Rattus norvegicus: one gene and its partners. The protein of the gene in region 4 interacts with the protein of the main gene of each other region in a pairwise test. Links are inferred from orthologs where the notes say so. Each region holds a gene or a part of one and is shown on either strand. Other genes may lie near its edges.

Region 1 (3,500 bases), on a different chromosome or scaffold from region 4:
CTCCTGTTGCTGAGGAAGATGAGCCGCCGGAAATACCGCCTGTCCTCCCCTTGCACATCCTCAATAACGTAGTCACCGCTCAAGGCACTGTGGGCTCGCTGCTGAACAGTCCGGACCCCGATGTCCCCGCCAACAGACAGGAAGGGCACCTGAAGGGGGAGACAGAGATGTGGCAAAGCATCAGCTCAATTAACAAGTGTGTGATGTTATCCACCCTGCTCTGGTACGAGTGACCATGAGGACTTCCCCACATCAAGGACAGCATGGCTCCAAAGACCTGCCCTCCTGGGCCTTTCGAGAGAGATCATGAGGCTTACTCCACTTTAGAAACTCAGATGAGGGGTTGGGGATTTAGCTCAGCGGTAGAGCGCTTGCCTAGCAAGCACAAGGCCCTGGGTTCGGTCCCCAGCTCTGAAAAAAAGAAAAAAAAAAAAAAAAAAAGAGAGAAACTCAGATGAACACATAGAGATCCCCTAAGCAGCAGAGACCTGCACCTGGTGCTGCCCAAGAAAGAAGTAAGAGTTTCATCAGTAAGCACATGGATTCTCCACAGCCCAGGACAGTAACCAACGAGAGAGGAGGAGCTGTAATCTGTGAGAAGGAATCTGGACACCAACAGAAATAACAAAAGTCCAGGGGAAACGATGACCCCCTCCTTTCCCCAACTTAGTCTCATCTCTGGTGCATCTGCCCACATCTCGGGATAAGAGTATATTCCCTAAACTTGCTCTGTCCCATTCTCACTTCTGTCTCAGCAGATTTCCTAACTGCCAGTAAGTAATTCCTGCCCTTGCAGACATAGTGATGAGAGAAGCTCTCCAGAGAATCCAGGCCTTTGTGAGATCAATCTCTCTAACGGACAACAATCCCAGAGTCTGACAAAAAAAAAAAAAAAAAAAATCAGAGTCATGGTCAGCCAGCCCAGGTCAGCCCAGTGAGCAAGACCACAGGCTAGGAACCCAAGCAGAGCCAATTCTATCACACTGGCCCTCTGGAGCCCTGGCTGTCCCAGAGTCCAGTTCTTACAACAGACTTGCCAGTTTCCTGTGGTGACAGATGTCAACTGGTAAAGCCACTTCTCAGTGCAACTTTTATCCTTTCCAGCAACGCTGACATCCTGACTGAGCTGGCTGGGTCCTCTCTCTTTTATATCCTCCCATGATACTTCCTAGATACAAAACAACCAGGGAAGTCCACTTAAAATGTGGGGAAGAGGGGTGGAAAGATGGCTCAGGTTAAGAGCACAGGCTGCTCTTCTAGAAATCCTGGGTTCAGTTCCCAGTACCCACACGATGACGGGTCGCAACTGTCTTAGTCCCATGGGATCTGGTGCTCTCCTATGGTATGCAGACGCACACACAGAGGAAAGAACCATATACATAAAATATATAAATAGATCTTTTTTTGAGACCTGTTTTAAAAAAAAACCACCACAGGCCCCCAACCGCATATGTAAAATATATAAATCTGTTTTTGGAAAAATGTAAAACCACAAACAAAAAAAAACAAAAAACAAAAAGCACAGACCTCCCACCTCAACACCTGGAGTGGCTGGCTCTTCTCTCTCTGCTGGGACATTTAACTGTCCCCTAACGGTGACTCTCCAGGCTATGGTCAGATTTTCATCCTGATTTTCTTCTTTAATTTCTTATACTAATTTAATTTATCATTATTTAATGTGCACTGGTGTACTGCGGGAATATGTCTGTGCAAGGGTGTGAGTCCCCTGGAACTAGAGTTACAGACAGTTGTGAGATGCCATGTGGGTGCTGGGAATTGAACCTGGGTCTTCTGGAAGAGCAGCCAGTGCTCCTAACATTAGAGTCGTCTCTCTGGCCTCTCAATGAATTATGTTAGCATACAAAGTAATGGGTCTCACCATGGCCTCTTCATGATCTCTGTCCTTATACTTTGTTCTCATTTGTCCCTTCCCCTGGTCCCCGCCTTCCTGGCTGCCAGTGGACTCCAGGCAGCAGTGACAGCTGCTGTCGGAGGGGTTCCGTACCTGCTTGGGGGGCATCCCAGCTGGGGCCAGCTCCATGACTCTGGCCGACAACTCTGCTTGAATGCTTTCCATGCTGTCATACCGCTGGCCTCGGTGAAGAGCCACTGTGACCAACCTCCTGAAGCCCGCACTGGATGCCAGCTGCTTCCGGCCCTCCTCCATGCCAAAGAGCCACTCCGTCTCCCGACCCTGGGGTACTGGGATAGACGACATTGGTTACTAGGAGTGCTGGTGAAATATCAAGCTCCATGATTAATATCCACATGGCTAAACCAGTCACTGCTCGGGACCAGCTCCCTTCCTGTGACCCACTGAGAGACTGAGAGGGTAGCAATTCCCAAAGCAAAGCAGCCCATCAAACATGAAGCGGGACTAAGGACAAGTGTGGATATGTCTGAGGGGAAGGGAGATGGGCAAAGAAAACTCGCGCGCGCGCGCGCGCGCGCGCGCGCGCACACACACACACACACACACACACACACACAGACACACACAGATGCACGTGCACGCGCACACACACACAGATGCACGTGCGCGCGCGCGCGTGCACACACACACACACACACACACACACAGACACACACAGATGCACGTGCACGCGCACACACACACAGATGCACGTGCGCGCGCGCGCGTGCACACACACACACACACACACACACACACACACACACACACACACACACACACCATCCCAGATAGTGCTGTTTCCATGCAGGCCTTAACTCTAAGCTGTTTACAGACACAAACACTGGAATCCTCACAGTGGCCCAAGATGAACGTGGCATTGTTCCATCATAAAAATGAGGAAAGAGAAGCACAGAACTGAAACGACTTGTCTAAATCCACAATGCAGTGAATGCAAAGCTCAACTCAGGCCAGACGGCCTGGCTCACCGCTACGCTCCTATCCGCTCCGCTCTTCGCTGAGGTGGGGCTGTTAGGATTATGAAATACTTAGAAGGGTGGCTCAGTTCTCAAGAAACCAGGCTTCCAACATAACCACACCTCGCATGCACCCAGGACGGTCCCATCTTCTTCACTTCTCCAACTCTTCTCATCCCGCCACCCCTCTGACACCTTCCCTTCTTTACACAACAGCAGCTGACATCCGTACAGCACTCACCACACGGCCAGCCTCATTTCTACGAGCGTTTACACTTCCTGACTCTACACCGGGAGTTAAGTCCCATTCCATTTGCAGAGAAAACGAGGCATACAGGAAACAGTCACTTCTGCTGTGTCAAATCACCAGGAAGCTGGGACTGCATCCTAAGAACCTGCAGCAGCGCTCCCTCCTGTCTGCTACCTCGCACTGCCTTTCAGTCTGGAGTCCAACAGCACACATGCTAGCTAGAACTCGGCCAAGACGTCTCAGCTGGAACCCACCAGCCCAGCCTTGTCTCCATTTATCCAGTCCCCTGAGGAACTAGCCTTGTTATGCAATGTGTAATGGGTCTAAATTTACACTATCTCCTGCTATAGCCTCAATTCTC
Region 2 (4,030 bases), on a different chromosome or scaffold from region 4:
CACTTGAGGCCCTGCCCACCCATGCCCATACCACCTCTGACTGAGGCAACACTGTAATTCTGCTCTCCTCTGACTCTGCCCACCCATAAGGCCTGCTTACTTCAGCGCGGGCAAGCAGGGCAGCAATGAGCCGCACAGACTGCAGGTTGCGCTGGGCGAGCAGTAGCCGACGGGGCTCTGCACCTTCCTCTTCCTCACGCCCCAACACAGGCTGGGGCTCTGCCTCCTCCTCCTCCTCCTCCTCCTCTCGACGTCGGCCTCGTCTCTTCCGTGCTCGTTGCCGTGCCTCTCTGCGCCGAAGCTTCTCCTCCCGACGCCGTGCCCGTTGTTGCTGCTCTGCCTCCCGCTGCTTCCTGGGTGGTTGGGGGTGGGTGGGTGATGTCACTGGGCGTGACATCGTGTGATGCAATCGGGTTTGGCGTCACTAGATATGACGTCATTCAAGCAACGTCATCAAATGATTTCATCCCAGGCTGAAGGTGATGTGATAGGGGGCGACATCATAGGGATTGACATCATCGAATGACTTTGCCCCAGACAGGAAATGAGTGTGGGATAAATGAGTGTGGGTTTGCAACTACTGAATGAGTGACAGGTGGGAGGGACCAGGAGTGTAACAAAGAGAAAGTGAGGGGTGGTGATGTCACTCTGTCATTCATATGGGTGACATTCTTATTAACACATTTAACATGAGATCATACCATGATATATGATATTGCATCCTAGTGACATCACCCCAATGATGTCATATGGTATGATGTCATGCAACACAAAGTCATTTGGGATGATGTCACCTGGTGATGTCATCCGAGTGATATCGGCCAGCAATACCATTCAGCATGACCTCATACAAGACCTGATGATGTCACACAGCATGATGTCATCAGAGTAAGCTCATCAGGGCGGTGTCATTATCAACAATGTCATGTGAGTGATATAATCCAAATGATTTCCCAGTGACATCATCCCATTGATCCACCCACCAGTCACCCTGCCTCAGACTGGCTCACCGCTGGCCTGCCCGCCGCCGCGCCTCATCCTCACGCTCCTTCCGCTTCTGCTCTTCACGCCGCTGCTCAAGTTCCTGTAGTTTCTGCCGCTCCAGCTGCCGGCGTCTGATCGAAGCCTCGCTCAGGTGCTGTGTGGCATCTGATGTCACCTGCAGGTGAAGGAGCACAGGGGAGTGAAGAGGACGTGTGGTCACATCACAATGCCGCCCTGTGATGTCATGTGGGTGACCTTTGATCTCCACACTACCCCGCCCCCTTTGACCCCTGTGACATCATTGAAACCATCATGATGTCATGGACCCCACCCCTCATCTCAGGCACTGCACTTTTCCCGAGGAACCACCCACCTGTCCACATGCAAGCGCCAAGGAGTTCCATGTGTCATTTACATCTGGTGCCCCGCCCCTACTCTGTCAGTCATAGCTTAGTCTCCGCCCACAAGATGTCAATCCACTCCAGGTCCCGCCAAACCCCTCACCTTGATGCCGCAGGCCACAGCTTTGCCGTCCGTGCCCCTAAACATGAGCTTAGCACCACGCAGGGCAGCCATGGCACGGGCGTAGGCATCACGCTCTCGGTACTGAACGTAGGCCTCGAAGCGGAGCCGCCCGCCCCCGCCCCCGCCATGGCTGCCGTCCTCACCAAGGTAAGGGTCCAGCATGGGAATGTCCACATGGCGGATCTCACCAAACGCCCCGAAAGCCTGGCGCAGGAGAGCCTCGCTGGGCCTCTCTGCTGAGGCAATGCCACCAGGGGAAGAAATGCCTCCAGCCTCATCCCCGCCACTGCCCCCACGGGGCGCAAACCAGCGGCAGGGCAGGCCCTGAAGGTGGATGGTGTCATGAGGGTGGGCGGGGTCATCCGTGGGTGGGGGCGTGGCCTCAGCGGCGCTTACACGCAGGCCATGGGGGAGGCCGCTGAGCATCATAGTCTTGCCGTCCAGGCCAGCGAGTGCGGGACGCACAAGCGCCCGGTTCTCGACCTCGCCCTCAAAGCGCACGACCTCAGGGCCGCCCCGGGCCAGGCGCAGTGATGACAGCGGCGCTCGTGCCCCCTGTGCCATCGCCCGCAGTCCCTCCATCACCTCCCAGTTTGACACTGCACGACTTGGCGCACGCGGGGGTGGGGACGTCGAGGAAGGCGAAGGGGGCGGAGCTGGGGGCGGAGGGGGCAGCGACACCGAGATTGTCACCCGCGCGATTGGCTTCAGGTACAGGCCCAGCGCCGGGCACAGGGGCACCGCCTCCGAGGGGTCGTGCACGATGGTGGCTGAGGACATGGCCAGCAAGTCTGGGGGAGCGGGGATGGTGCAGTGATATCAGTATGTAGTGATGCTCATGGTGACGTCACAACATCTGAAACACGCACACAAGGTCATGACATCAGAGAACCTTAGGATGAGAACACAGCTAAGGCTATGCTCACCTGACTCCATTATGGCCAAGGAACCAAACCCCGCCCCTCCTCTCAAATAAAGCCAAGCCTCTGCCCCAGGCTCCGCCCCAGTCCTACATTTCTCCTGCTAGGGCCCCATCCTATTTCCTAGCCGGAAAACTCCGCGGAAGCAGCAGAAACAGGTCAGACCCAGTCCACGCGAGCCCGGAGTGTTCTCCGCTCACCTCCTCTAAGCTCCACCCCTGTGCTCCGCAGCGGCCTCGTCACTCTGCCCCGTTACCCTTCGTAGCCATTCCCGGGGCTCCCGTGACGCACCTTAGCTTCCGGTGCCCAGACTCTAGTCCTCGCCACCGTCTAAGGCCTTTTGGTAAAGTCCCCGCAGGCGTTTCGTTCACGGCCGCTGACAACTGATTTTCGTAGTTTAAATGGCCACTTCCGGTCCCGGTCACCTCTGATCCGGGATACCGGAAACAGGGATCACCAGCAGAATCAGCGGCACTCAGCGCGCACGCGCAGGTTTTTGCTCTCGCTCCCAGACACAGGAGGTTGCGGCTCCTTGGTCAACAGGGCGATAATCCTGTGACCAAGGCGCTCACCGGTGACGTCAAATACGATCGACTCCCTCCCGTTTCCTCCGTGGAGACAACGTCTGTCAGCCGCTTTCAACCGCCCTCCTGTGGCGGGAAAGCGGAGGAGCACAAAGGGAACTTCCGGCACCGCTCACCTCTGACCCCCGCCTCAAGAAACAGCAACAGCAGCAGGGCGCGCATGCGTAGACGCTCTTCCGCCCTCCCAGTTCCCTTTTGCGCTTAGGCTCCGTGACAGTGGCCTGCGGGGTCAGCACTGGTGACCCCTTCGTCGCCTTCGCTCGGATGTCACAACAAAGCAACTAGGCTCAGCAAAGAGCAGACTCTGTCCGCTATGCGTGAGGTCATAAACTATGCGACTCGTCGTCAGCCAGCGCGGCCCGCGTAGCGCGGCGGGCAATCCCGTGATTCCTAGCGTATCCATGTGTGTGACGTCCGCCCTGGCGCGACCCCCGTGGCAGTGACAGTGCATCCGGGTCGTCCTTTCCCGGTTTTGACGGAGGCGACAGGGGGCGGGACTTCCGGAATTGATTCCCAGGGCTCTGCGTGGTTCTAGGGCAAGTTCCGGCTCAGATTTTCTTTAAACGGACTTGAAAAGGGGCGGGACTTCCGCCTGTCATACTGATTTTTACTAGTATCTAATACCGCATACGCCCTCTTGCCTGCGCTTTTCCTAAATTTCGCAAGCCAAGAGGGAGGGGCGGGGCCTGGGCGAATTCCGGAAATTGCGCAAAAACGCCACCATTCACGTAACACGAAGGGTGGTGCCTGGGCTGCGGAGTCCTCCAGTGATATCGGTCAGGTCTGGTAACCCCGCGCGACTCTGGCCCCCATGGCACTGAAGCCGCTCGCCCCGCTCCTGCGCGGTTACCACGTGGTCCTGGCGAGCGCTTCGCCAAGGCGGAGGGAGATCCTCGACCTGGCGGTGCGCTTTCCGTTTGCCGGGTCACTGACAGGGAGGGAACCGGAAGTCGGTGGGCGGAACCGGGAGCCCCCAAAAATGAGAGTGTGACGTGACCACACCCCGCAGGGCGTGGT
Region 3 (4,249 bases), on a different chromosome or scaffold from region 4:
TTGCTGGGATTTGAACTCAGGACCTCTGGAAGAAGAGACAGTGCTTTTGACCTCTGAGCCATCTCTCCAGCCCGTTTTGTTTTTCTTTTCTTTTCTTCTTTTTTTTTTCCCCCGGAGCTGAGGACCTAACCCTTGTGTTTGCTAGGCAAGTGCTCTACCACTGAGCTAAATCCCCAACCCTTTGTTTTGTTTTTCAAAGACAGGGTTTCTTTGTGTAGCCCTGACTCTCCAATTCATATTGTAGACCAGGCTATCCTTGAACTCACAAAGATTCACCTACCTCTGCCTCCTGAGTGCTGAGGTTAAAGGCTTATGCCACCACACCTGGTTACCTTGTTTTTTTTTTTTTGTTTTTGTTTTTTTTTAATATATAACAATTTATTTATTTTATGTATAGAAGTACACTGTAGCTGTCTTCAGACACCAGAAGAGGGCATCAGATCTCATTACAGATGGTTGTGAGCCACCATGTGGTTGCTGGGAATTGAACTGAAGACCTCTGCAAGAGCAACCAGTGCTTTTAACCACTGAGCCATTCTCTCCAGCCCTGCCGTGAGTTTTAAGTTTCAAATCTGGGGGCTGGAGAGATGGTTCAGTGGTTAAGATCACTGGCTGCTCTTTCAAAGGACCTGGGTTTAGTTATCAGCTCCCACATGGCAGCTCACAGCTGTCTGAGATTCCAGTTCCAGGGGACCGAACACTCTCACATACATACACGCAGGCAAAACACCAATGCACATTAAAGATGTTCAATAGTAGAGTGAGGGAAGCCTGGGTAGGAGAACCACTAAGCCTTACTGTCAAGGTATATATATAGATAGAGAAGTTCAAAGTGCTCTAGAGGCAGAAGCAAGAGGGGCTTAGTTTCAGGCTTGCTTGAGATACACAGCCCAATGCTGGTTTTTCTTTTTAAACACCAGTAGTACCAGTTTAGTTTCCTAAAGAAACCTGTATCCACTAAGTGTTTTGGGTACCTTATACCACGCAAGCCTACGGGCGAGGCAGGAAGGGGGCGCTAATAAGTTTCTCCAGTCTTGTACAACGTAGGGATTCAAACTCAGATCTGAATACTTCTTAGCATCTTTGAGTCGCTAACTCCTAGTTCAGCTGCCCACCTGTACTTCTGGTTTCTATCACCTCTATGGGCTTCTGAACCTTACATGCAAATTAGCCGAGGTTTGTGTTTAAGCATATAGGATATCTCACACAGGTTTAACAAAATTCTTGTTCATGGAAATAAATCAAGAAAATATCTACGTATTGAAGATATCCTTTGGAAAAGCCACTGCGGGTTTCCTTAGTCTGCCCTAACCCTGAGAAAGGTAAACCTTTCCGTTGCTGAGGCGACAGACACAACTTGGCTGTTTGGTTCTCCCGCGCACCCGGATGACGTCAGGCGGCGAGATTCTCTTACGCCAAAACTTCCGGCCCACCATCTTTGTCCCTGGCAAATTGGGTTTTGCGCAGTGTCTTAGATCTAGAGAGAATCGTGACGGGCAGGAAACCATTACACCACCTTCCCGGCTGTGCTCTCTGACTGCCGCCGCCACCCCGCCCTTGCCTCCGGTGAGTTCAAGGCGGCTGGCTTTGGGGTGTGTCCCTGACTGGGGGTAGTTGTGAAGGAAGGGAACCCCAAGCCGGGTCGTAGGCGCAGGAGGAAAGGAGAAACGGGGAGCGTGACGGTTGAGGATGGAGGGAGTCCTCGGGTGTGACCGTTGTGAGGGAAAAGCTTGGAGAAAGTACCTCTTTCGTAGTGACCGTGGTGGGTTGGGGCTGAGCTCCGGTGTAGCAGCGATAGTTGGGGGCTTCAAAACGAAGCAAGGTTCGGAAGACCGGCTTGGGTAGGGCTCAGGCCAGGGGTGTGGCCGCTGGAGGCCCAGGGAGAACCACCTAGATTTCCCGTTTGGCATCTGTTCATTGAGAAAGAAGCTTGGACGTGTCCGTCCAGCACGCCTAGGGAGAAAGGATTCCCGCGACCGTTTGGTCACTGAAACCTCCGTTGTCACCCGTATTCGGAGGCATCTCTCCTTATCCTGGACAGTTTTCTTGACCGGGTCTTGACCTGCGGAGGGAAGTGGGTAAAGAGAATAGGGGACTAAATAATGTTCTTCGAGAAAGGAAGGAGAAACTTGCGTAATTGACCTCCTGTGTGAGAGGGGGAAGCCAGTGAAAGTAAATCTTAGCCTGGAATTGTTTTTCTTTTTTTAGCTCCCTTTATTCCCCGGGGTTATTAGGAGCAGTCTAGTTTGGGCAAGGCTGTAAAAGTCTACTAGAAGTGAAAAAACTGGAATTTCCTGCCATTTCTTTATTCTTTGAATTCTCAGGATGTATTAGTATTTTGAGCAGCCCTGTTTAGAGGAAGGCTCTTATTAAACTCAAGCAGTTTAGGTATGAAGCAGTATGAATCTGTCATGGATGCTTCGCTGAATTTTTTTTTTTTTTTATCATTTAGAAGGGAGATTATTTTTTTAAAATGGCCAAACTCTTTTGTGACCTTTGTGGTTTAAAAGACAAAGGACACACTATAAGCACAGCAAGGCAAGTTAACTGAAAAGAAGGTGGTCTCAGAGAGGAACAATCTAAATTATCACCTGCTTTCCTTGTGTAGTTCTACTGCTCAGCCTCAGGGTGCACTTACAAGGTATTAATAGAAAGCGGCAGGTGAAGTAGGTGCAGCCACCAGTAACACATTCCCGGGATGACTAAGTGAGGCGGGCGGACATGTAAAATGAGAGCAGAGTAGGTGTCTTGCAGGGGAGACTCCCTGAGAAATAAAGGGGAGTGTGCTCTGCAAAAAAGCTCCCTAAAGTTGAGTGGTAAATTAATACAAAGTAAACATTCTGAGAAAATAAGACTCAGAGAAGTCCCTCACATCCCCTTCCCCTGTAAAAGGTCATTGCTTTCCTCTTAAGGCACACATTTGAACCAAGTCAGACAGGGAGCATTCAGAGGACATCATCCCCATTTTTCTTCTTTCCTCCTAGGCTTAGGTTTCCCCAAATGTCTTGGAATTTCATAACAGTTGGGTGTAAAACTGTTGGGCTTCTTTCTTTACGCATAATACTATATTAATGAATTAACTTGTAGTTGTTTAAATAGAAGCCAGAGGTGGATTTAGCTTTTAAATGTTTTATTTCTGATAAGCTAATTAATCTGAAGCTGCTATTGTCCTGGTGTTATGAACATTTTAGCCAGAAATGGTCTTCATACCACTCATCCTTATAAGCAGAGGTTCCTGGAATGTCACTAATGCTTTGCAGTTTACTGAACTCTGGCTAGTTATTGACTTCATGTGCAAAGAAGGGCATAGTGGCCTTGCCAGTGCTAACGTTGGCTGCCATTTCCCAGACAACTACTTGAAATTAAGACCTTACTAATTTGTTTCTGACTGTATTCTACCCAGCCTGTTAATCTTGGTTTGCTGTTGAGTTGCTCTTTGGGGAAATTGGAGGAGGGGAAGGCTGGGAGGAGAGAAAGGACGTTGACAACCTATATTTGGCAGAAACTAGGTTATGTTAATCTAGATCTATACCCTTGTACTGTGAAAGGCAGTGAAGCAATACTGTGGGCTAGGACAAGTTCAAGGATTACTGCTTTGCCTGGTGGCTGCTCTGTCCTTTAACAATGTCCCTAGGCCACACCTTAAGTCAGTCAGTGACCTTTCAGGTTTCATGTTGTATAAGGTGGTGTAAGTTCAAATTCCATTGTGGCTTGCTTATTTCTAGGGATTTCCTGAAAAATTTTGCCCCAGTAGGATTTTGAATTTTGAAGCACTAGGCAAGTTGAAGTTGTATTTTTCCAGTTCTATTGTGGCTTTGTGTGTGTGTGTGGTTTCTACTGTGGGCACCAGTTTTACACCCTATACTGGAGAATTTGACTGAATATTTGGCAAGTGTTTGGGAGGGTCTTTATTAAAAAATAGTTATATGAATTGTGAGTTGAGAGTCACAGGGACATTAAGGTTCTGTCACTACCACTCTTTCTCATTTTAATTAAATACTTAAAATTCATACAAATATATAATGTGTTTAAGTCTAGGCTGCTCCCCCAGCCCCCCCAACCCTTTCTTTCTACAGTGCTTTTGTTTAGACTGTTTTCATTCTCCCTTATCCCCCACACCTCTGCCCCCGCCTTAAGGATAGACTGGATGCCTTGTTTTTCTGCCTGTATGATGGCAATTATTTCATCACAATTATTGACTATGGTGTCAGTTAAATGAGTGATATATTTACCTGCTTTTTTTTTTTCC
Region 4 (4,037 bases):
ACTTGAATTCAAGATTGCTGGTGAGAGAATAACCAAGAGGTACTAGTTTTACTCTATGAGATTAACCTAAGTCTTGAGGAAGGGGGAGAAATCCTAGGAGCAGCTGATAAAAACACTGGGAACCAAGACTAATGGGAGTTGGGTCCCTGGAAGCCCACAGGGTGGAAGGAAGAGAATCCACTCCCACAGGCCGTCCTCTGACCTACATGTGTGCTTGGTGCCCATTTGCCTAAAGTTATAGATGGTGTGAACTGCCTTGTGGGTGCTGGGAACCGAATCTGGGTCCTCTGCAAGAGCAACAAATGCTCTTTACCACTGAGTTAAGTCCTGGTTTTGTTTGTTTGATTGATCTCATTGATACCAGGGTTCCAGATTTAAGTAGCCGGCAAATGCATTAAACCACATACATGGTGACTCAGAAGGCAAGTCCATGTGTGCTGAAGTTAGAGGGGCTAGTAAAGGATGGTATGCGGGCTCAAGAGTCAAAGGTCTACAATGATGTCGGGCACACGCGCCCCAGACTCAAAACTACAGAAGGTCAAGCATGTAACACTTCTCTCTAGCATGAAAAATAGCTGCAACAGCTCGCAATTTCCAGCACAGACAGAACGCAAAGGTAACAACGTTCCAAGCTGGAGAAACGGCTCAGCGGTTAAGAGCACTGACTGCTCTTCCAGAGGTCCTGAGTTCAATTCCTAGCAACCGCATGTGGCTCACAGCCATCTGCAGTGGGATCCGCTGCCCTCTTCTGGTGAGTCGGAAGACAGCGACAGTGTACTCACAAATATAAAATAAATTTTAAAAAATAAGTGCTTTTGATTCTCAGCTTAGAAGAAATGAAATGCACGTCTGTACTCGCTCTTTAAGTAGACGGCCATCTGGATTCTGAACGTGGAACACAGATTTGTATAAATCACACCTCCGCAGCCGCCCTTTTTAAAAATTACATGTGACCAGGGACGAGCTTTCCCACCTTCCCTTTACGCTTCTGGGTCCAACAGGCGGTTTAAATTGAATTAAGTTTACCACACTCACCAATACAAGACCCTACAAGAGACTAAAGCAAGGCTCCCAAACAAACGCGCTTTCTTCCGGCCAAGGCGCAGAGGACCCACCCACTTCCGCACTGCTGACCACGCCCCCCAGGCACGCCTCGCCCTAACCAATGGTCAGCTTCCCTGGGAACGTTACCTTCGGCTAATCAGAGCCTGCGAGCGAACTCCTCGCGAGAGGTGAGGTTGAAGCTGCCTCCGCCATCTTGAAGATGGGAGACGAGCGACAGCTGTTGTCTTTCTGCTAAAGCAAACACCACAACGGACCGGGTGGTCACCCCCCACGGTGAGGTAATCGTCCCCATAACTGCTAACCAAAGCCACCGAAAGCGGCGACCGTATCAAAGCCGAGCGCGGCGGCACCGACGGCCCCTTCACCTGCCTCCCGGGCAGAGGGGAAGTGTGGAGGGCCAGAAGGATGGTGCAGTCCTGTTCCGCCTACGGCTGCAAGAACCGGTACGATAAGGACAAGCCCGTCTCCTTCCACAAGTAGGTAACTGGCGTGCTCCGCGGCCGCGGCAGGGGCGCGCGGGCGGGTGGAGGCGGAGCCCGGCGCGTGGCCGCGCGAGACCTGGAGGAGGCGGGGCGGCCGGCGGGCTCGGGCGGCAGACGGGGCTGGCCGGCGGGGGCGGGGACCCATGGCTGCGCGTTCCCGGCGCGCGCCGCCTCCGTTGGCTGGGCTCTGCTGAGGCTGCGGCCGCGCCTTTGCGCTCGTGGAGGGTTTCTGGCGAGCAAGCGATGGACGCCTGGAAGCCTCTCGCTGCCCTCCGGATTTCGTCCCAAGCCAAGCCGTGGAAATGTCCCATAGGGATAAACTGGAACTAGAAAAGCATGGGAGGGAGACCTGGCTTCTGACCTCGCTGCTGCTGTTAGGAGGGAAGCAGGATAGCTGAGTGTTGACATCTGACCAGGACTTTTAGACCTGGTTTCAAAGAACCAAGCTTTAAGGATCTGTGGGTTTTAGAGGTGACTCTTGGTATTGCCAAGATGAGCCCCAGTCTTTCAACACACGGTAGTAATGAAACGATAGCATTCACTTTACTCAGATGCCCTGGGAAAGGTTGATGGAACTAATGTTAGCTTTCCCCCACAGCTGTCAGGCCTTGTTCTTGTGTGTGCAGCAAGCAAGAATCCAGGATGAAAAATACTCTCTTGAAAGAAGAAGGCAATAGAATTAACGTTACTGATGGTGATTATTAGCAATGCTAACGGTCCACAAAATGTGACATACTTTTAGGCAGCTAAATTCGTTATTACAAGTTTTATGTTAGGTTTTGGAAGAATTCCTGACTGTATGCAGAGAATAGCTAAGAAATCAGACCCACTGGAAAATTATCCAAACTGTCTATAGGGAAAACAATTACAGAAACAAATTTCAAAATGTTCCCTCAGGGATTTGGGGAGCTAGTGTTTTTGTTTAAAAGTGTTTGTTAGAAAGTAAGAGTTGTATGCTGGTGTTTTCTCTGTGGGAAGAGGATAGAATATGTCCAATTACTACGACTTGATTGATTGAAATTTCATACGCCTTCAGAATGTCAGAACAGATCAGGAAATGGTGACAGGGATATGCATCCGACTTGCCACTTCCCTTTCCTATGCTTTATTAAGATGGCCCAGGAGTCTTCAAATATGCAGACTAGTTAAAAATGGCACACATCGGGGTTGGGGATTTAACTCAGTGGTAGAGCGCTTGCCTAGCAAGCGCAAGGCCCTGGGTTCGGTCCCCAGCTCTGAAAAAAAGAAAAAAGAAAAAAAAAATGGCACACATCAAACTACTGTTTCAACTGCTGGATGTTGAAACATAAAAACAAGAATGAGTCTTATTCCTTATGTAAGAACAGTAAATGGCAAAGATCTTGACAGTTCAGAGTTTGTGCTCTATGCCAGGAGATGAGATACTAAGATTTATAAGAAGCTACCACAGTGGTTGTACTTCTTTTCAGGAATATCTTTTTTCCAGCCTGTGTGCAGTAGCAGTGGAGAAAGCTGGCTGTGTAAAGAATAAACACTAGCAGGAAGATTGGTTAGGTCTTCATAAAGAAAATGATGATCAGGGTCCCACATACCTTATGTAGTGGAATAGTAAAAATAAGTGGAAACATTCCTTTTCAGCCATTTCTGATTCCTCTAGCATCTCCCACCAAGTTTTTGTTATAGAAAAGCATAGTGGCAATAGATACAAGGATTCCCCATTCCATACACTGAATTAAGCCATAAAATAACGTCCTTACCATCTTTGTCACTTGCCCAATTCAGGATGTAGTCTCTTTGTTGGAGTGATTAAAAAGAGCTAGACGTCTATTTCAGGATGTAGACATATGTCCAAGTTTTGTTCTATAAGACACAAAATTTTTAGTAAAAATATGCGTAGAATTTGCACATATGATCAATTTTTTTTCTTTTCTTTTCTTTTTTTTTTTTTTTTTTTTTTTGGAGCTGGGGACCGAACCCAGGGCCTTGCGCTTGCTAGGCAAGTACTCTACCACTGAGCTAAATCCCCAACCCCACATACGATCTATTTTAACTGAACTGTTAAGTGTCTTCAGTATAAAAAGGTGAAGCTCACTGAGTGAGAATAGTAACCGGAACTGATCTCCAATCAGATTCTCCTTAGTATGTTAAGATTTTCCTTAGTATGAGAATGGGGGAAGGGTATTATTTATTTTTTAAAGTAAAGTCAGAGAACTGAATTGTATCTTCTTAGGTTTCCTCTTACTCGTCCCAGTCTTTGTAAACAGTGGGAGGCAGCTGTTAGAAGGAAAAACTTCAAGCCCACTAAGTACAGCAGTATCTGTTCGGAGCACTTTACTCCAGACTGCTTTAAGAGAGAGTGCAACAACAAGCTACTGAAGGAGAACGCTGTGCCCACTATTTTTCTCTATATAGAGCCACATGAGAAGGTAATTTGGGTTCTTAAATGCTGGATTTGTTTTTTTCCTTTCCCGGTCTTTTCTTTGTTTTCTTTCCTCCTCTGCATTCTCTTCC
Region 5 (4,176 bases), on a different chromosome or scaffold from region 4:
CTTTGGGGTCTACCCAGAAGTGTACACTACCAGCATAATAGCTTTTACAATCAGAACAACTTGCTATATTGTAGCAACCCTAATTTCTACTGTCTGCCAGCATGTGCACACAGGCTCTATAAAATTGCTGGCTACTGGAGCTCTTAGCAGACAGCAGATACATTCAAATTTACAAGTTTGTTCTTCCAACTTCTTGGTCACTTGTATGCTTGTAAGGCAGCCTCAAGGACAGGATTCTGGTCCCTAGACCCAGTGCCCTCAGGTATACTGAATGGTGAGGTGTGGGGGGGAGGGGTAGGCTCCCAGCATAACCTGTCCTCAGTGAGATAATACACTCTACTTTTAAAATACATTTACTTAAGTACAAAGTGGGCTGATACAAAAAAAAGTAGAAGTAATCAGTAACACACACCCCAAAACCTCAAGGGCCTGGACTATGGCGGCAGACAGTCTCCTGGGCAATTGTGGGTGGGTGGGGAGACAAGGGGAGAGCATTACCCTCATAGAACCACTAGGCTCTCTGGTAACCCAGGGCCCACTCTGACCCGGAGTGGTTGCCTCCAATTGGCAGGATAGATCCTAAGATCCAGCAAGCATGGCTCAGGATGCTATTAGGGAGCAGCCCTGCCTTATCCCAGATAGGGATGAGATAGTTAGCAAGTAGGAGTGGGCTGGTAGCCACTTGGCATCAGTGATAGACCCCACAGAGCTCAGAGTTGGGCAGAGCAGCCAGGCCTCTGGTGTCCTTTGGTGTAGCCACATTCTCAGTCATCAGAACTTCTGTCTTGTCGTCTGTGGGATGGGTTCCTTCCACTGTCCTGGCTATGTTCCCGCTTCCTCTTATAGCAGGGAGAGAAGTCAGAATGTCTCTGGCGTCTGGGCCTAGGAAGACAGGGACACTTGAAGGGTCCATCACCCTGCTAAGCATCACTCAAGCCCTGGCCAGCTTTGCGCCCCACCCCCTTCCTTAGTGACCCAGATAGAGTTGGGCCTAGCCTACCGGGCAGGAGAGGGAGAAGATGAGCAGCTGTCAGCCTCCCTCTTGTGTTCTTTGTCTTTCTTCTTTTTGTGTTTCTTATGTTTCTTCTTCTTTTTCTTCTTTTCTTTCTTGCTTTTCTTATGGCTCTCTGCACTGCAAGAAACAATACAAAGGGTCTAAGCCTGAAGAACTAGAGTCACTCCACTGTGGGGTAGTCTCACCCAGTAGGGAAAGACAGAATAGGGCAGGGTCCATACCTTAGCATTGCACACTGGTCGTTTCTACACATTGTGAGTTTATATTTGTAAATGAGCTTAATATTTGGCTCCACAGCAGCAAGGGTGAATGCTGGCATGCTACCAACCTGGTGGGCCTTCTCTCTGTCTCTCTCTGCAGCCTTGTCAAGCTCGGAACTCACTATTTTACCTACATACAAAGCTGACATGGCACAAAAGTAGAAGTAACCTGACACACATACAGTTAAATCCCAAGGCCTGGAACCAGCTTATGAGAGATCAGCCTGCTTCTGTCTACCAGAAAGAAAGATGTGTGCCACTACCAAAGCCAACTTATACTTTTAACTACTACACCCCCCACCAAACTGGCTAGCATCATGGTCCTGAGTGTCACCCTCCTGTTTGTACCCATTATCCTGCTGGATTGCCTGTGGCAGCTACTGAGACTCAGCCGGGAGATGGAGGCCCACCTACTTCAGTAAACTAAGAGACCTAAGGCAGTGCTTTGCCCCTTTATGCGTGCACAGGAAGTCAGACTCAACTTACTCCAGTTCAGCCTTGTCTTCAGCACGGGGCTTCTTCCTGGTAGCAGATGGGGCAGTACTTGGGCCTTCGCTGTCCACACGGTGGTGCTGTATAAGAGTAGCTGTGGTGAGGGACACTCCGGGAATCCTGCCCCACATCTCAGACACCCCCAAACCCCAAGATCCTGGGCATTAGGGTTGACAGGGTTTACCGTGAACACTGACAGCCCAAGTTTGGCAGCCTCTTTGTCTTCTCGGGATAGTGCCACACGGCCCGCGGAGCCACTGCAGGGGACAGAGCATTTGAGGACAGTTCTGAATCACCGCCCAGTCCTGCCCTAGACTCCCCAACTGGCCGCACCTGGCGCTGCCCAGACCCAGCAGCCGGTCCACACCCTTCTCCTCAGGATCTCCTCCTTCCCGTTTGCAGATCTCCACGAAGTCCTGCGGAAGACAGGAGGTTCTAGGCCGGGACAGACGGACCCCCAGCCACCCTGCGAACCTTGAACCCCTATCTCAGACTCACCTCCTTGCTCAGGCCGGTGGGCTGTTTCCTCACGTTCTTGTAACCACTGCGAACGAGGGGCGGGAATGCTCAGCAAAGGTCTAGTCCCTCCTTTGCCTTCCTCGTGTGCCCCGCCCACATCCAACCCCGCCCCCAGGGTCACCCAGACCCCGCCCCCGGCGCGTGCGGTCGCCCCGCAGCCCAAGCACTTACAGTGCGGCCAGCAGCGCCTCACGCTCCGCCTCACGCACGGCTGCCAATTCTTCTTCACGGCTCGGGCCGGTACACGGCGCGCGGTCCTTCGCGTACCAGGTGAGGTCGCGGCCCTTCTGCCAGCGGCCTACTGGTGCCATCAGCGAGTTGCCCAGGTAGTTCTCCCTCTGCTTGTCAGTCTTCACATCTTCCCAATTGAACTGGTCTTGCCCGCCACGCACGCCGCCGCGACTGGAGCCGAACATGGTGCTGGAGCCGCTGCACCTTCTTCAGTATCTACGGTCTGGAGTCGGACTCCCCGCAGCACTCGGCCTCCGGACGCTCGCCGTGACGTCACTCTCCCGCCCCCCGCGCGCGCCTGCGCTCTAACTAACGTTCCTGTGCGCCTGCGCACTGCGTATCCCGGACCGACTCCATCTTTCCAAAGGGCGTTCATTGCTTCACCCACAGGCACATCCTTCGTCCTATTGCGCAGTACCTCTTCAAAAAGGCAACCGTGCTATCACACCTGATAACGCTTGTGTTAGGCATCTCCGTGGAGTGGGACACCACAACACCTTAGTGACACCAGGAGGGGCTGTCCGCTTGTTTCCTGGAAAGCCAAGCGTGCTAACTCCAAAGGCCTGAGGTCCAGGTCACTGTTGAAACTAAGTTAAGTAATGGCAAAACTTCACCGAACACTGAGGAGCAGATAAAGTCGCCAAAGGAACATAGATCAACTCTTCCGTGCTCTGAGTGACAGCGTGCATGGCATTACAGTAAGCTAAATACCACAAGTCGAAGCATCCCTAAACCAGAGCGATCTGTGTACTCCGCAGGTGAAGCTTTACCCGGCAGTTCACTGAGGCCTTGCCTCAAAATGAACAGAAACGGATTTAATGATAGATCACTCGCCTAACATGTAGAAGGTTTTGGGTTCCATCCCTAGTCTGATAAATTACCCAACCTGGAACACTCTAGCATCCCAAATAGACCAAGACAATCTCATTTTTGTTTTCATTCTGAACACAAGTTGGGTACCTGTCAGCAGCCTGTGAGGCTCCTGGTATAAGCCCTGAGATCAAGTCCTGGTTTTAGAGGAAATATCTGGATTCAGATCCCTCAGAACAAGATCATACTAGGGATGAATGGATGGTCCCAAGGGGAGCTGCACAATACATATCCTTTATTTGCCTAATGTAATTGTCATCTCCAAAGCTTACTGCCTTTGTCTGCTAACCTAGGCCTAGTCCTGGAAGCTTCTAGCCTCTGTACAATCTTGCTTTGATTGGCAGAGCTTACAACCCTTGACCATGTAGCTTCAAATGCTCTTCCCAAGCTTGGAGTGAGTGATGAGAGCCAGACAGCTGAGTTTGTGGCTGGGGTCCTTTGGCATCTTGGGCTTGATGGCCTGAGGCTTGGCAGGGGCCTTTTTTTTTTTTTTTGGTTCTTTTTTTTCCCGGAGCTGGGGACCGAACCCAGGGCCTTGCGCTTCCTAGGTAAGCGCTCTACCACTGAGCTAAATCCCCAGCCCCGGCAGGGGCCTTAATGGCCTCTGAGCATGCACTCTCTGCCTCTGCATTGTTGGCCTGCATTTTCAGGCCTTTCTTGTGCTTCTTGGCAAAGCACATGTTCTTCAGGAACTTGGGGTCAACCCCCTTCAGAAATTTGTATCTCTATGACTGGGGTTTCTTTTTTTTTTTTCTTTTTTTCGGAGCTAGGGTCCGAACCCAGGGCCTT
Region 6 (3,982 bases), on a different chromosome or scaffold from region 4:
TCTGTTTCTCTCTTCCCCTCCCTCATTCCCTCTCTCTCTCTCTTTTTTAAAGATGTATTCATTTATTATATATAAGTACACTGTAGCTGTCTTCAGACACACCAGAAGAGGGCATCGGATCTCTTTACAGATGGTTGTGAGCCACCATGTGGTTGCTGGGAATTGAACTCAGGACCTCTGGAAGAGCAGTCAGTGCTCTTAACCTCTGAGCCGTCTCTCCAGCCCCTCATTCCCTCTCTTAATTATTGCTTAATCGAAGCTCTCCAGTCTCTATCACTAGCCTAGTGGCAGGTGAAGTGTTAGTAGCCACTGATTAATGTTTTCATCTGACGGATAGACTCAAAACCTAGGCCTTCCTTAAACAGAACATCCTGTCGCAAAGAAGTGCAACTGATTTAATAAAAAAAAGATTTATTTATTTTTTATATATGGGAATACACTGTCACTGTCTTCAGACACATCAGAAGAGGGTATGGATCTCATTACAGATGGTTGTGAGCCACCTTGTGGTTGCTGGTAATTGAACTCAGGACCTCTGGAAGAGCAGTTAGTGCTCTTAACTGCTGGGCCATCTCCAGCCCCGGAACTGATTTTTAAAAAGGCTTCACGTCCTTTCCTGCTGCAGACAAGCACTGTTGATCTCTGACATCACGTGCATATTTACAAACAATGCGAAGTCTACACAAGTGAGATGATGAAGTCGGCCACCGCTTTAAACCGAACACTAGTCTTAACGAAGCGGAAGTGAGAAAACACACTTCAAGAGCTGTGTTGATACAAATGGTATTTAACTTGGTAGAATAAACAAGATTCGCACTCTCCACAGCGGATCCGCTACAAGGATCATTAGCCTGCCGGAGAGACGCGGGCGTCGTTGGGGTGCTCAGCGGCTTCCCTCCCTGCCAGCGCCCCGGCGTCCCGCTTACCCGGCTGGACGCAGCATCCCTGCGCTCCGTAGCGCGCTCACGGGCCAGCCGAACGCCGCCGCCGGAGAAGGACCGGCAGAGCAGCCGGCGAAGAGCTTTGCTTCCGGGCCGCAAAGCCGCCATGGCCCGCGCGTACGGCAGGATCGCGACAGTGGAAAGGTTGGCTTTACGGCAGCGTCGCAAAGCCTGGGGCGACGCGCGGCGAGGCCGACCCTGCGCATTCCCTGAGAGGGACGACCGGTTGCGGGGCCCGCACGGACGAGGAGGCGAGTTTTCTCCGGGCTCGGAGCTGAGGGGCCCGCTGTGCGAGGACGGCGACAACGCTGCGGAAGTGGAGGTGGCGGAGCGCGATGGCGCGTGCGGCACAGGTGAGCGCTGCGCGGGGGCGCGACCTCCGAGCTTCCGGAGTCGGGCACTTGGCCACCCTCGCTGCGCAGGCCAGCGCCCGCCGCGCGCCCATTGTGAGGTCAGGTGGCGGCGCGTCCGGCCCGGCCGAGACCCGGGAGCGGCCGCCGCGGCCAGTAGCTGCCGCCGCCTCCGCCGGCCCCTTCACCGGCTGCCCGGGTCAGACCTAGCCGGGAAGGGCGAGGGGGATGACGCTGGGGGCTCCGCTCCGGTGCCGCTCCCCGTGAAGGGCCGATCTCCCACCTCGCCGCCCTCCGCGGCAGCCAAGACCGCCGCCACCCAGACCTCTCGGAGTAAAGCGCTGCGAAGGCCGGGCTTGGACCCTCCCCAGGGACTGAGTTCTGTGGCCTGCCCGCCAGAAGTGAGCTGTTTGACAGAAACCTGAGAGCGTGGGAAATGCTCTAAGCACACTTACGGGGAGGCGAGTGACCGAGTTAATCGCAGTCGTCAGGTTTTTGCGGCGGGTACTTGAAGTCGAGGGCGAGGATTTGGACGTTTTCTTAGTTCCACTTTCTGAAAAGTAGCAAGTTTAGCTGTCTGTCCGAATGCTGCTCCTGTCAGTTTGGAAGAGCTACTTCCACAAGGGCACCCTGCTGGTTCCAAAGACTAGCTTAGGTTGGTGGGATTTCAGGAGATTGTGTTGCTGCTAACCCGGTGGGTTGACCTAGTATATGAAAGTGTATGCAGCTCGCTTTCATGGTTTAAGACAGAATTCATAGGCCTAGACATCCACCCAGGCTGGACCATGAGTACCTTCCTGTCTGTTCTTAAAATCCCTGCCGTGTTCCCTTATTTTCTTTTTGCTTTTGATTCTTGGTGTCACCAAGTAGTCCTTGGCGATCTTGAATTCGTAATTCTCTTTCCTCTGTCTCCCTGGTGCTAGGATGGTAGGCATACACCAGCTCACCAGCTTGGTTGGTTTGTTTTTTGTACCTGTTCAAAGAGGCAGTTGACATGTCACATCTTCCTTTTCCTCAAGTGTCTTTTAAACCTTTGACAAAACCCTCCGTGTGTTTGCTGCATGCCCAGCTGCCAGAGTTTGACCTGTCCACCCGCCATCGTTTCTGTGGTGTCCTTTGGTTTTGTTTTTTGAGGCAAGGCTTCTCATTGTCCTGGAGCCCCTCAGTTAGGCTGGCTGGCTGGCCAGTGAATCCCAGAGCTCCATCCGTCTTTGCCTCCCCGGCCCTGGGAATTTAACTGGGCACCGTCTTGCCTGGCCTTTCTGTTTTATTTTATGTGTGTTGGTGTTTCATTTGCCTGCATGGATGTCTGTGCACCATATGCGTGCCTGTAGAGTACAGAAAGGAAATCAGATCCCCTGGAACTGGAGTTACCATTAGTGGTGGTCATGAGTTGTCATATGGGTGCTGGTAATCAAACCCAGGTCCTCTAGAAAGCATTCAAGTCTCTTAACCACTGAGCCCTCTCTCCAGCCCCTTCCCTGGCTTTTTTTTGCACGTGTTCTGGAGTTGCAACCTGGACACTTGACTAAGAACTCTCTCCACAGCCCCAGTGAGCCCTTTTAAAAAGTGTACTAAAAAGGAGTGTTTGGATTGGGTTATTACCCTAAGAGACTAATAAGTTATCGTTCTTGCTATCTTTCAGTGCTTGTGAAACTGAACACACAAGTATGGATATGGGAAACCAACACCCTTCTATTAGTAGGCTTCAGGAGATCCAACGGGAAGTAAAGAGTATAGAGCAGCAAGTGGTTGGCTTCAGTGGCCTGTCGGATGACAAGAATTACAAGAGACTGGAGAGGATTCTGACGAAACAACTTTTTGAAATCGACTCTGTGGATACAGAAGGGAAAGGAGACATCCAGCAAGCTAGGAAGAGGGCAGCACAGGACACAGAACGCCTTCTCAAAGAGTTGGAGCAGAACGCGAACCACCCACACCGGATTGAAATCAAGAATATCTTTCAAGAAGCTCAGGCCCTTGTGAAAGAAAAGACTGTGCCCTTTTACAGTGGAAGCAACTGTGTGACTAGCGAGTTTGAGGAAGCCATCCAGGACATCATTCTGAGGCTGACACATGTTAAAACAGGAGGGAAGATCTCCTTGCGGAAAGCAAGGTACCACACACTAACCAAGATCTGTGCGGTACAAGAGATTATTGAAGACTGTGTGAGGAAACAGCCTTCCCTGCCACTTTCCGAGGATGTGCATCCTTCTGTCGCCAAGATCAATTCTGTGATGTGTGAGGTGAACAAGGCCAGAGGTACTCTGATTGCACTTCTGATGGGCGTGGACAGTTCTGAGACTTGCAGGCACTTATCATGCGTGCTGTCAGGACTGATGGCTGATTTAGATGCTCTAGATGTGTGTGGGCGTACAGAGATCAGAAATTATCGGAGGGAGGTGGTGGAAGATATCAACAAATTACTAAAATATCTAGATTTAGAAGAGGAAGCTGACAATACACATGCATTTGACCTGGGACAGAACCATTCCATTATAAAGATAGAAAATGTCCTCAAGAGGATGAGAGAAATGAAAAATGAACTTCTCCAGGCACAGAGCCCTCCTGAATTGTACCTGAGGTCCAAGACAGAGCTGCAGGGCTTGATCGGGCAGCTGGACGAAGTGAGTCTGGAGAAAAACCCCTGCATCAGAGAGGCCAGGAGAAGAGCAGTGATTGAGGTGCAGA
Region 7 (4,263 bases), on a different chromosome or scaffold from region 4:
CTTCTCGAGCAAGGAGTAGCCTGTGTCATGCTGACATATGACCAGCGGGCATATCTCTATCATCTTTTCAGACTGCTGGTCTCCTCCAGGTTAGTGGACACAGCACCACTGTCCCTCCAGGGGGTCAGGCCGAGCCTGCTGCCGTAGTCCTTATTTCAGGGAGTCAGACAGTGGGCCCAGCATTGGGGCAGAATGGGAGACTTCGGATTGTAAGCAGTGATCTCGTGTAACCCTATTCACTGGTCCATCCACAGGTGAACCAGTGCGTGATCGGCACTGCTCAGGCTAATAAGAAATGAAGATGGATGCAGAGCCTGGCTCCTGTGCAAGCGGGTGTGCGTGTCTGTTTTGTGTATATGTATAACACGGGGGTGGGGCGGGGCTGAGACATGATTTTATTGGGTGGACAACATTATGTACCCAACTATCAAATAAAGAAAATTTGGTGTAGGTTAATTTTTTTCTTAATCTTAGATTTAAAAAATTGTGTGTGTACAGTTGTTTAGCCTGAGTATATACATGTGCACCATGTGCATGTCTCCTGCTCCTTGAAGTTCAGAAGAGGCTTCGGGGCCTCTGGAACTGGAATTATGGACAGTTTTGACCATCGATGTGGGGTCTGATCAGTAAGTGCTCTTAACCACTGAGCCATCTTTCCAGACCCTGTTACAGCTCTTAATGGTTTTATTAATATTGGTAGCTGCCAGATGAAGTATTGTGAGTAAATACCGTAAGATGTAGAAATGTCCATTTTGACCTGTTTTGCAGAGTGAGGGAGGCTATGGGCTTTCACTTGGAGGGACACACTAACTTTGCTGCCTGCCCTGGTGCCTCTCCTCTGTCCTTCAGCTCAGGGAGTTGTGCCCATAGTGCCCACACCGGGCCCTCTGTGACCAACTAAATCTCTCACTTCCCCTGCCCACCGGTTCGAACCATGGTTCGGTCCGTGCCGCCTAGTGCCCATTGGCTGGTGTGGGCGCGTCACCGCCCCAGTACTAGTTCCAAGTAGCCTCTGGTCCTTTCCCTCCTAGAGGAGCACGGCCATGCCAGTGCTCGCCGCGGGAGGAGTGGCTGTGTGCCCAGGTGCGGCGCGCGGGCGGGGCTACGCGTGCGCAGAAGGGCGGGGCAACAGAAAGCGTGAATGAGGAGGGCGGTTCCGCGTGCGGAGGCGGAGCTTGGAGTGGCCACGGGGGCGGGGCAACTAACGGATGTGGCATGGGGCGGGGCCCGGCCCTGACCTGCAGGCTAGCTGCCAAGAAGGTTATTTCCTGCTGCCCTCAGAGCAAGCCTCCTATCCGAAAAGGGGGCTACAGGGATTTCCTCGTCCTCCCCGACCGGCCGCGCCTCCAATAGCGCAGCGCCCTCCGGGCCTACTGGAGGTGAGGGAGGTGCTGCCTACCCGCCCCTCCGTCGTCTCCTCCCACTGGTGCTCCCCACCCTCCACTCTCCTCCCTCCTTCTGTCGACTCCTCCTGCCGCTGCTGCTGCTTTGGCTGCTGCGTCATACGCCCCAGAGCGGCCAGGACGGAGGGGCTGGGCCCGGGGACCCCCCTGGCCTCCACCTGCACGCCCCTCGGCGCTCACACTCAGTCTTCCCGCACCGGGGACTCACCCAGATCTCTTGGGTCTGCCCCTACCTGGCTTCCAGCTGCCCCAGCTGTCACCGGTAAGGAGAAGGCGGGAGGCCCGGAGGGGGGGGGGCAGGGAACCGGGGGTCGGTGCGCAGGAAGGGCTGGGGGAGCCTCCTGGTCCCAGTTTGGGATCTGTGCTGGGGCGACTCAAGTCCCTCCGTGGACTGGCAGTGTAGGGGAGTAGAGACTTGGACAGGGACACGCCCCCCTCCTGGGGCACTCAGGGAAGTTATCTAATCCCAGGTCAAGGAGCCCCAAATTTGAGGGTGACCTAACATAACCTGGCACCAGGATGGTGGCTCTAAATAAGACACACAAGCCTGGGGAGGCAGCTGTTTCTACTCCTTTAACGTCTTTAGAAAAGCTCCCAAAACATCTCCGGGCAACAGATTGCCCCAGTTAGGCTACCTCTACACAGCTGGGAAAGGTGAAACTAAGTGGTAACCTTGATTCTGCAAACATCTTTTCCACCGGAGGTCCGGAGGAGCTGGGATACTACGGAGCTAGGCAGGGGAGATGGAAAGGAGTGGAGTAGAGAAGCTGACCAGAACGACCTGCCTCCTCGGGGTTCTAAAGGATTACGAGACTGGGGTTGGAGATTCCTGGTCAGGGTCAGGGTTTCTTCATCCGTAACAGAAAACAACCCACACAGGGACACTTTCTCAGCGCTCATAAACTCTAACCATCCTGTTTCAGAATAGCCCACCCCAGGATGCAATGGCGCAGCTCCCCCGGCTGAGCCGTTTGGGTGCTCCCTCTCTTTGGGACCCAGCCTCCCCTGCTCCCACCTCAGGCCCCAGACCTCGGCTTTGGGAAGGTCAAGATGTGCTGGCAAGATGGACTGATGGGCTCCTGTACTTGGGCACCATCAAAAAGGTGAGGCCCACCTCTGATCCCCTGCCTTCCCAGGCCGGTCTGATTCCTGCCCCCACTTTACGGTCTTGGTCATCCACTCCAGGTGGACAGTGCGCGGGAGGTGTGTCTGGTCCAGTTTGAGGATGATTCCCAGTTTCTAGTTCTATGGAAGGACATCAGCCCAGGTGAGACCCTTCAAAGCACAGCTTCCCTCTGCAGCAGCTGGAGCCGATGGGGACGCTGGGTTGAAGTGGGCCTCCTGACACTTTGTTCTCTCACAGCCGCCCTTCCTGGTGAGGAGCTCCTCTGTTGTGTGTGTCGCTCTGAGACCGTGGTCCCTGGGAACCGGCTGGTCAGCTGTGAGAAGTGTCGCCATGGTGAGAGGGCGGGATGTTTAGGGGGTGCAGTTTGCCCTGGGTCTTCTGGGTTACCACTAGAAGGGTTACCCTCCCTCATAGCGTGAGTCACGCACGTCTCCTGCCTGGGCCAGTCCTCACCCTGTCACCTCATCTCAGTACAGGGAGAGGGAGCGTGGATGCAGGTGACAAGGCTGAGGGCCTACCGTAGCTCGCTCACATTTCTTAACCAAGCTTCCTTGGGCAAGGTCCTCAACTGCTAGAAGCCCGTTGACTCAACTTGAGTGTCAGGATGAGACCTGCCAGCGGGACCGGTCTTAAATGCCCTGGTCAGGACTTAAAGGCCACTCTGTGGCCTTCTCTCCTCATTCAGCCTATCACCAGGACTGTCACGTCCCCAGGGCCCCAGCCCCTGGAGAAGGAGAGGGCAGCTCCTGGGTCTGCCGCCAGTGTGTCTTTGCGATTGCCACAAAGGTAAAGGCACCTCTCTGCCTGCTTGTGTGGGAGCCTCCCGTGACCTCTCCTCCTTCCCTGCCCTCTGAGGCTTCCCTCTGTTCCTCTGCAGAGGGGAGGTGCCCTGAAGAAGGGTCCCTATGCCCGGGCCATGCTGGGCATGAAACTCTCCCTGCCGTACGGTCTGAAAGGGCTGGACTGGGACGCCGGACATCTGAGCAACAGGCAGCAGAGCTACTGTTACTGCGGGGGCCCGGGGGAGTAAGTGAAGGAAGAGCAGGGCCAGCCACGGCATGGGTGTTTTGTGGTGGTAGAGCCCAGGACAGAGGGGAGCGAAGAGGGTGAGGGGGGGCCCTGTGGTTTGAAGAAGGCTGAGGGCCATGGCGCTGTCTTCCCCTTGAGGTGGAACCTGAAAATGCTGCAATGCCGGAGCTGCCTCCAGTGGTTCCATGAGGCCTGCACCCAGTGTCTGAGCAAGCCCCTCCTTTACGGAGACAGGTGAGATCCAGGGAGACTGCACAGGAGCCTGGGGTGCTCTCTCTCCCGCGCTCCCGACTGACTAGTTAGCCCTCTGCAGCTCGTACTGGAGGGTTGAGTGAGGTCCCTCTGTCCTGACCCATATACAGATTCTATGAATTTGAATGCTGTGTGTGCCGGGGCGGCCCTGAGAAAGTACGGAGGTTACAGCTTCGCTGGTGAGAAGGATGGTGCTCTCCGCCATTTTACTCTATGACTCCTGACTCCATAATGCTGCTGCTGTTGACAATCTCATGCTCCTCCAGGGTGGATGTGGCCCATCTTGTTCTCTACCATCTCAGCGTTTGCTGTAAGAAGAAATATTTCGATTTTGACCGAGAGATCCTCCCCTTCACCTCTGAGAATTGGGACAGTCTGCTCCTGGGGGAGGTAAGGGTTCTAAAGTTTGAGAACTGGGGTTTTTGGAACAAGGAATGCGTGCTCCCTGGGACC

What was found.
Region 1: the proteins of Thap1 (region 4) and Mettl13 interact in binary tests that used the Homo sapiens proteins (3 or more experiments, as listed by UniProt). The two-hybrid records come from large-scale screens. The link is inferred for Rattus norvegicus from reciprocal best matches to the Homo sapiens genes THAP1 and METTL13.
Region 2: the proteins of Thap1 (region 4) and Akap17a interact in binary tests that used the Homo sapiens proteins (3 or more experiments, as listed by UniProt). The two-hybrid records come from large-scale screens. The link is inferred for Rattus norvegicus from reciprocal best matches to the Homo sapiens genes THAP1 and AKAP17A.
Region 3: the proteins of Thap1 (region 4) and Ap2b1 interact in binary tests that used the Homo sapiens proteins (3 or more experiments, as listed by UniProt). The two-hybrid records come from large-scale screens. The link is inferred for Rattus norvegicus from reciprocal best matches to the Homo sapiens genes THAP1 and AP2B1.
Region 5: the proteins of Thap1 (region 4) and C10h1orf35 interact in binary tests that used the Homo sapiens proteins (3 or more experiments, as listed by UniProt). The two-hybrid records come from large-scale screens. The link is inferred for Rattus norvegicus from reciprocal best matches to the Homo sapiens genes THAP1 and C1orf35.
Region 6: the proteins of Thap1 (region 4) and Bag5 interact in binary tests that used the Homo sapiens proteins (3 or more experiments, as listed by UniProt). The two-hybrid records come from large-scale screens. The link is inferred for Rattus norvegicus from reciprocal best matches to the Homo sapiens genes THAP1 and BAG5.
Region 7: the proteins of Thap1 (region 4) and Phf1 interact in binary tests that used the Homo sapiens proteins (3 or more experiments, as listed by UniProt). The two-hybrid records come from large-scale screens. The link is inferred for Rattus norvegicus from reciprocal best matches to the Homo sapiens genes THAP1 and PHF1.

The regions. Positions count from the first base shown.
Region 1 is NC_086031.1:77,426,605-77,430,104, forward strand, and holds part of Mettl13 (eEF1A lysine and N-terminal methyltransferase), read right to left. Parts: intron 2,203-3,500; coding exon 2,006-2,202; intron 150-2,005; coding exon 1-149. UniProt on the Homo sapiens protein: Dual methyltransferase that catalyzes methylation of elongation factor 1-alpha (EEF1A1 and EEF1A2) at two different positions, and is therefore involved in the regulation of mRNA translation.
Region 2 is NC_086030.1:21,425,448-21,429,477, forward strand, and holds the start of Akap17a (A-kinase anchor protein 17A), read right to left. Parts: upstream 2,801-4,030; 5' UTR 2,721-2,800; exon of another isoform or gene 2,630-2,720; intron 2,366-2,629; 5' UTR 2,290-2,365; coding exon 1,489-2,289; intron 1,160-1,488; coding exon 1,011-1,159; intron 354-1,010; coding exon 101-353; intron 1-100. Other genes in the region: Asmtl (N-acetylserotonin O-methyltransferase-like protein), read left to right, coding at 3,825-3,917, 4,023-4,030. UniProt on the Homo sapiens protein: Splice factor regulating alternative splice site selection for certain mRNA precursors. Mediates regulation of pre-mRNA splicing in a PKA-dependent manner.
Region 3 is NC_086028.1:68,599,274-68,603,522, forward strand, and holds the start of Ap2b1 (AP-2 complex subunit beta), read left to right. Parts: upstream 1-1,449; 5' UTR 1,450-1,566; intron 1,567-1,618; exon of another isoform or gene 1,619-1,762; intron 1,763-1,960; exon of another isoform or gene 1,961-2,074; intron 2,075-4,249. UniProt on the Homo sapiens protein: Component of the adaptor protein complex 2 (AP-2). Adaptor protein complexes function in protein transport via transport vesicles in different membrane traffic pathways.
Region 4 is NC_086034.1:72,609,891-72,613,927, reverse strand, and holds the start of Thap1 (THAP domain-containing protein 1), read left to right. Parts: upstream 1-1,237; 5' UTR 1,238-1,470; coding exon 1,471-1,541; exon of another isoform or gene 1,542-1,594; intron 1,595-3,756; coding exon 3,757-3,952; intron 3,953-4,037. UniProt on the Homo sapiens protein: DNA-binding transcription regulator that regulates endothelial cell proliferation and G1/S cell-cycle progression.
Region 5 is NC_086028.1:44,493,009-44,497,184, reverse strand, and holds C10h1orf35 (multiple myeloma tumor-associated protein 2 homolog), read right to left. Parts: upstream 2,801-4,176; 5' UTR 2,703-2,800; coding exon 2,458-2,702; intron 2,312-2,457; coding exon 2,266-2,311; intron 2,184-2,265; coding exon 2,101-2,183; intron 2,025-2,100; coding exon 1,952-2,024; intron 1,848-1,951; coding exon 1,762-1,847; intron 1,133-1,761; coding exon 1,001-1,132; intron 883-1,000; coding exon 765-882; 3' UTR 338-764; downstream 1-337.
Region 6 is NC_086024.1:136,590,479-136,594,460, reverse strand, and holds the start of Bag5 (BAG family molecular chaperone regulator 5), read left to right. Parts: upstream 1-1,182; 5' UTR 1,183-1,294; intron 1,295-1,736; exon of another isoform or gene 1,737-1,752; intron 1,753-2,936; 5' UTR 2,937-2,961; coding exon 2,962-3,982. Other genes in the region: Coa8 (cytochrome c oxidase assembly factor 8), read right to left, coding at 927-1,049. UniProt on the Homo sapiens protein: Co-chaperone for HSP/HSP70 proteins. It functions as a nucleotide-exchange factor promoting the release of ADP from HSP70, thereby activating HSP70-mediated protein refolding.
Region 7 is NC_086038.1:5,018,512-5,022,774, forward strand, and holds the start of Phf1 (PHD finger protein 1), read left to right. Parts: upstream 1-1,463; 5' UTR 1,464-1,665; intron 1,666-2,326; coding exon of another isoform or gene 2,327-2,347; coding exon 2,348-2,506; intron 2,507-2,588; coding exon 2,589-2,670; intron 2,671-2,766; coding exon 2,767-2,862; intron 2,863-3,214; coding exon 3,215-3,315; intron 3,316-3,406; coding exon 3,407-3,555; intron 3,556-3,696; coding exon 3,697-3,792; intron 3,793-3,920; coding exon 3,921-3,989; intron 3,990-4,076; coding exon 4,077-4,200; intron 4,201-4,263. Other genes in the region: kinesin-like protein KIFC1, read left to right, coding at 255-299. UniProt on the Homo sapiens protein: Polycomb group (PcG) that specifically binds histone H3 trimethylated at 'Lys-36' (H3K36me3) and recruits the PRC2 complex. Involved in DNA damage response and is recruited at double-strand breaks (DSBs).